Linked DNA regions of Tribolium castaneum. The protein of the gene in region 2 binds, or shares a complex with, the protein of the main gene of each other region. Links are inferred from orthologs where the notes say so. Each region holds a gene or a part of one and is shown on either strand. Other genes may lie near its edges.

Region 1 (2,718 bases), on a different chromosome or scaffold from region 2:
TTTAAAAAAAATGTAAAGATGGGGTTATAAAAAAATAATCCAAAGAAGAGACTGGATTTTAAATCTAGAGACGACTAAAATAATTTGAAAAACATTTTTAGAAATATTTTGAAAAAAGAGCAATCTAGAAAAGAATTGGTACAAAAGAATACTAAAAAAATAATAAAAAAATACTAAATAAAACTGTAGAAAGGGACAGAAAGTGGAATCTAAAGGAGAATTTAGAAAATGTAGAAAGCGTTTATAAAAGAATTTTGATGAACAAAGCATTTCTAAATCAAAGTCCATACGATGAATTTATAAAATAAGTTTATTTCCTATTTCATATTTACAGATGGTTTAGAACAATGAGAGAAGAATGTTAAAAAAATAGTGACACAAAATCAAAGCATAATTTTGGAAGATCTAAACGAAGGATTTTGAAAAGTCGCAGAGTAAAATCAAAAATAAAATTTTTAGGATGTATTAAAAAAGTGATTTCAAAGAATTTTGAATTCAGTCTATTAGCTGTTTTTTAAACTACAAAAACGCCAACGTCACATTTTGTCTCAAAATTAGCTGTTAATGCTGTTATGAATTTTTGATGCACCTAAAAAAAAATAATGAAAGTTATAACAAGCGAATTTTTAAAATTTTGATCTAGGTATCCTTGACAGTTACCTCAACAGTGAAATATATTACGTAAATAACTTCAGCATCGCTTTATCTGTCAATATATCTAAAATATTCACCGAAGAACATAAAAAATTATGCTGGATTCTTATTTCCCTAAAGGACATTGGGTTAACTTAACTGTTGTGGATTACTAGATCAAAATTTTAAAACATCGCATGGTACTTTCAATGAAAGATCTAAACATTAATAACTGTTTTACAATTTCATCAACCTTGGCGTTTGTATAGTCTTGAAACAGCTAATATAAATACAAAGAATATTAAAAAAACATTTGGAAATGAAGTAAGAAACGCCACGTTAGCGTTTATATAGTTTTGAAACAGCTAAATAGAAATGTATTATGAAACATTTTCGGGATCTAAATATGGTTTTAGAAAAGAATATGACAAGAATGTTAAGAAAAGTCTAGGGACGAGTACTGAATCCATGCTGAGGAATAAATAATTTGAAAGAATGTTAAACGAAATTATAGAATTTTGAAAAGACGCAAGGGAAATGTTGTGTGTTATTATTATTAGATGTTATTAGTGTTTTGTGCAATAAAAATAAATGTATTTTTTATTTTATTTATTTTATTCCGTGTTTTTAAATCTGGAGAATTATGGTGTTACAAGTGGCACGGTTGGCAACGCTACCGCGACTTCAAACGTCAAAGAAGCATCCCAAATTTATGCTAAAAATCGGTCTTTTTTAATAAAAAAAACGTGTGTAGTGTCGTTGTTACAATGGCAGATGTTTTGGACATCAACGATTCCGTCGAATTGGACGTGGAAGACGAAGGAGACCGTAGGCAAGCCGTAACATAACCTCTCCTTTTCCTAACCTCACATTTCCAGAGAGCGTTTTGCGCCTGAAAGATAAAGTTGTAAAGCGGAAAGGTCGCGGCTTTGGGCCTGGAGAGACCAAGGAACATGAGAAAATTCGAGGATATGAAAGCATAGATTCCGGGGATCACGGAGACGAGCCTGGGCCACAGAAATGTAATTTGCATTTTAAACAGTTTTAGTGTTGTAAACAGTTATTTTGCGTTCTAGCTGTGGAGGGGTGGATTTTGTTTGTGACTTCGGTGCATGAAGAGGCCAGTGAGGATGATTTGAGTGAGAAGTTTTCCGAGTTTGGGGCTATCAAAAATATAAGTATCAACTTGGATCGTCGGACGGGTTTTTTGAAGGGATATGCTTTGATTGAATATGGGACGTACGAGGAAGCGTTTGCGGCCAGGGAGGCTTTGAATGGGTCTTTGTTGTTAGGGCAAACAGTTGGAGTTGACTGGTGTTTTGTTAAGGGGCCCAAAAAGTAAGTTTCTTGGTTTTGAATGGTTAAATCTTAGTGATTTGATTTCTTTTCAGGTCAAAGAAACGTGCAAGGAGACACTGATTGTAACTGTAAATTATTTATAACTCAATTTTCCACTTATATCCATTAATTTCTTAAGATTACAAAAGTAAGGTTCTTTGGTGTATTTTATTTATGACATTCAAGAAGTAATAAATTGTGAGTTTTTTACGTGTGAAGTGTATTTTTTCTATAGTTTGGGACAAGCAAGTATTCTCAAAAGACTTGGTAAAAAGTACAATGTGATCATTTAAAGTTATGGTTACAATAGATTTTAAAATTGTTTTAACTTGGATTAAAACGGTGATTATCAATTATCACCATTAATCCAACTCAAGTTTAAATAAGGATCGGTATCAGAAACATATAAAAATAAACAGTCATTTATTGTAAAAAAAACACTAATAACTGTGCTAATAACAAAAAACAATGTGTACTCTGTTTCTGTGAATTGTAGAATTGTCAATGTCACAATCAATAGTGGAGTAGTTGTTTCAATACTATAAAAACATCAACGTTGCATTTTCCCTTAAAATTAGCTGTTATAACTTATTCGTGGACTTAAAAAAAATAACAGCTAATGTAATTTATATTTTCAATGAGATCTAAGTATTAATAACTATTTTATAATTTCATTAAAAAAAATAATTTGGTAAAATGCGACGTTGGCGTTTTTATAGTTTTGAATCAGCTAGACCCACATTACAC
Region 2 (4,253 bases):
CCTTTTGGGTCTTGTGGTATCAAAAACATTCTACGAAATTTGACTTGCTTGTCACTTGGTACGCACTTGTGGTCACTCAAGAAACGGTCACTAGGTGATTAAAAAAAACGAAATTTGTGTGTTCAAAATTTATTAACCATGTCCAAAATCCAGGTTTTGTAAGAATAAACATCAATGTAAAAAACAATCGCATAACTTTCATTTTTTGGGCAAAAAGTCTCCAAATGCATTCCCACCAAGTTGTTACTTTGGTCGATCATTGGAGCATTAACCCTTTTTCCACAAAACTCGTTCCTGCTTGAAATGTAACAAGAAACATGCTTCTGTTTGATGAAACCCGTACAGTCCTCGTGTTGATAAACACGAACATCAAAACTGAGCAATTTGTTGAATTTTTGCCTTTGTGCCAACGGGAGATCCACTCTCCTATCCCAAGTAAAGCTCTGTACAAATCGATCAAGTTTCGCAATTTCAAATGCCTTATCGTCAGTTGCATTAAAATGTAGCAAAACCAAACCAAAATTAGAAAAAATGACATTATTGACCCTTTTTGTCACTCCCCCGAAAGACCACCATGACGACCCTAATCTCAGAACGCCCAAATTTTCAACACAGTCATCAACAGCTAGGGCCCAGTTTCGCGCAATAACACCAACAGCACATTTGAAAAATCCTTCTTTTGCATCAATATATCGCTTTCCGAGAAGAGCGGCAATTGCTGGATTCTCTGATTCCTTACACTTTGCAAGAGTGAAGGTTTGGCTAAGAGAACTAATAGATCTTTTGTTAAGGGCATCAAGTTCAAATTCATATTCTATGTATTCGCGATCGCGTTTGTCGTAAATATTTAGAGTTTTATTTGCTAAATAACAGCATAGAGCGTCACATCTTTCCGAGGCAGGCCCAAAGGCCCCAAAGGCAAACGCTAAGTAAAGCGCGACCATTACCACGAAGAATGGGACTGCTACCATCAAAATAAGGTGAAGAACAGTTTGAAATGAGCTTTTCTACAACAGTTAAGTGGGTTATTGGAACATTTTCTATAAAGTTTTACCATGATTAACGCTAAATTATGTCAAAATTTTTGAATTTTAATTTATTTTTTTTAATTTCACAAGTTGTCTCTGGTGCGATCTATGCAACTAATATAACTCAAATTGTATAAAAAAAATTTTAACTAAAAAACTATAGATGACGTTTCAATCGACTGCTTATATTAGTTTGCGGCCTTTTGGACAATTTTATCAACAAGGGCGTTTTTATTTAAATTTTACTTATAAAAGTATAGGCAACTAGTTATTCAGTTGCCACCAAAAGTTGGTGCTTCTGTGCTTAACCTAACCTCTGAAACCTTGTGACAAGGAGTTGCTAGTTGGCACCAACTTGTTTCTCTCTGTTTCTTTTCCTTTCACGTCGTTCCATTGAGCATGAAAAGGACCAGAAACGAGACGTAAGTCTTGAATTTGTCACTGGCCATCGAATCTTGCCAATCCGGCCAAGATAAAGATATTTGTAAAACAACAAAAAGATGGAAGAAACCGTTGCTGTGCCAGCGACAGCCCCCCAAACGGTGGAAAACATATCACAGGTGAGCCCAATTGCTCCTTACGTTGCTCCTTCGTTCCGGAAAAGAGAAAGATTTGAGAAAAAATTAACAAACCAGGTCACAAGTTCAGAACGAAGTGGAGCACAACCGAGGCGATCTCGCGTGAATTCTTCTCAGTTTAAGAATGATTTTGCAGGAAAAGACACGAATTGACGCTGAGGAGAGCCACAAGTCCCCTAACGAGTCGGAGTATGACAGTGCAGGGAGTTACAGTGATGAAGAGGAGGATAAAGCGAGGTCGAGGAATTCCAGGGAGCACACTGATTCGGAAACTGAAGGCAGTGTAGGGCTGGAGCGGGAATCTGGCGACGGACAGGAGAGTTTGCCTCTCAGGAAGGTGGACGATGATGAGGACAAGAAAAACCCCCAGTACATACCCAAAAGGGGCACTTTTTACGAACACGATGACCGGACAGCTGATGACGAGTGAGTGCGAATAATTACACAGTTCATGTAGTGTGACTGATTAATTGTTTAGGCAAACAGCTGATAATGTAGAATTGGAGAAGGAAAAAGAACAGAAGAAAAAAGTATGGCAGGATAAGAAGGAAAGGTGGAGTCATGATCGTTTTAACGACTCTGAGCAAGCCCCCAAGTCCAGGGCTGAACTTGTGGCCATCTATGGGTACGATATTAGGAACGAGGAAGGTCCCCCTCGAGCTCGAAGGCGCAGACGATACGGGTGAGTTCCCTCACTGTGTTAAAAATCGGTTTAATTTGTTGCGCATGCATTTCCAAAGACGTGGCCCTAACAAGTATACAAGAAACTGGGAAGACGAAGATGCCTACAACAAACCGCCACCTCTTATTCGTAAAAAGAAACCCCTCAGAAAGCCCAATCAAGGCGAAGACTTTCCGCCTCTAAACCGCTCAAGTAATCAAGAAGACCCGCAGGATAGCAGAGATTACGAAGAGAAAACAGACCAGTACCAAGCTGAAACAAACGGTAACACGAAAAATTCAGTATGCGAGTCTCCGCAGTCTCCGCCAGTCCCACCACAAGAATCCAACAGGATGCAGCAACGCGTCGGTTCTGGCCGTGTGGTTAAACCAAAACGCGAAATCAAGGATTCAGATTATAGGGGTTTTACTACAAAAACACGTCAAGTTAGGAATATGAAAACTGATCAAAAAGTCGTCCCGAAATCCTCGAAAAAAGACGATTTTATCCAGTCGCAAAATTTTACAAATAAAAATAACAACATACAAGAGCTAGAAAAGGATTTATCAAAATTGAACGTTCAGGATGGGGTGCATAAAGGGGGTAAACACGGGGGACAGAGACAAGGCAGCGTCCCACCAAGACTCCAATCGGAACAAAAGGGCTCCAAACGGTACAGTTCCATCAGACAGAGGTCGCTTCCAGAGTCGGCAACGCCGCCGTTCTCGCAGCACTCGAATTACTACTCAAATGGTAGGTTCAAATTATAACATCATCACTTAAATTTATTTTCAAGTATACGCACAATACAAATAATTTATGTTATGGTTATGATTTTGCGCTAAATGTTACTGGTCGATTTTGTTTGGTTTTTGATTTTTTTTTACACAAACACAAAGTACAACAGTAAGTGTTAAAAGAAAAAGAAAATATTTTTGGCCATGAAGTAGATTTTAAGTAATAAAGAATGATTATTATTGTTGATGGGAAATTTTTTTCTGAGTATTAGATTTTGATGAGATTTTTTAGTTTTCAGAATTTTTTTCTGAATTAAGTAAAGCAGTGAACGCATTTTAAAAGACTTTCTCCCCTAGAGTCTGAGTGAAAGAATGTACCCTGTAAAATAATATCAAAAATGCTTCTTAACACGGCTGTAAATCATTGCGGAAAATAGCTAAAATGTAATCCTTTTTTGCCCTCTTAATTATAGTCTTGAATATATTTTCTTAGGCAACCAATTCGCAATATATTCCTTTGGACATTACATTTGATAAAAAATAATTTTCATCTGGTAAGTAGATGGGTCCAGGACGACCTTAATTCGGATCTAAACTAGTAAATATTATAATTGATTAGTTTAACTCTGACTAAAACATTTTTGGATTATCATTAGACCCCTCAGTGGTTTGAGGCCACGCTGTACCTACTAAGCGCCCCCTGGCCCTTAATTAACATCAATTTTTCCCAACTGTAAAACTAGAGACAGGATATAGGTAGTTTGAAAGTGTTACAGTACAGTATAGTGAACAAAAAATTTCGGGCACTTAATTAACGGCATTAAAAAAAACGATGTGGTTTAGGCTTAATGAGACGAATGTTTTTAACACGAAGGTTTATGAAGATGAAATGTTGAAGATCTTTGATTTTTTGCTCGCGACGGTACTTACAGGAAACATTTTTTGATAGGTACTTCTGGACCGCGCCAACATTTTTTGGTTGAACAAATGAGCACTTACCACTTTTACGTGTGATTAATTTAGAAATTATGAGTGCAGTCACCATACGCAGTCAGTGTGGGAGCTCTTAACACTTTTGCATAAATCAGCAGCACAGTCTGAAAAACACTACATTGATATTACGTGTTTTATGTGCCTTATGACCCCCTTTAGCATTTTTCAATTACCCAAAACAGTTTCCACAGATTTTTCGTCTTATTTGTTGGATTTTCTCAAATCATTTTCGAAATGTCATCCGTCAAATTTAAAA

The links.
Region 1: btz (region 2) and tsu share a complex: the UniProt entries of both Homo sapiens proteins name them as parts of the mRNA splicing-dependent exon junction complex. The link is inferred for Tribolium castaneum from reciprocal best matches to the Homo sapiens genes CASC3 and RBM8A.

What each region holds. Positions count from the first base shown.
Region 1 is NC_087399.1:11,508,577-11,511,294, forward strand, and holds tsu (RNA-binding protein 8A), read left to right. Parts: upstream 1-1,285; 5' UTR 1,286-1,400; coding exon 1,401-1,461; intron 1,462-1,511; coding exon 1,512-1,655; intron 1,656-1,709; coding exon 1,710-1,971; intron 1,972-2,024; coding exon 2,025-2,052; 3' UTR 2,053-2,181; downstream 2,182-2,718.
Region 2 is NC_087396.1:15,135,849-15,140,101, forward strand, and holds the start of btz (protein CASC3), read left to right. Parts: upstream 1-1,449; 5' UTR 1,450-1,528; coding exon 1,529-1,588; intron 1,589-1,742; coding exon 1,743-2,032; intron 2,033-2,084; coding exon 2,085-2,288; intron 2,289-2,346; coding exon 2,347-3,020; intron 3,021-4,253. Other genes in the region: uncharacterized protein Arl6, read right to left, coding at 1-29. UniProt on the Homo sapiens protein: Required for pre-mRNA splicing as component of the spliceosome. Core component of the splicing-dependent multiprotein exon junction complex (EJC) deposited at splice junctions on mRNAs.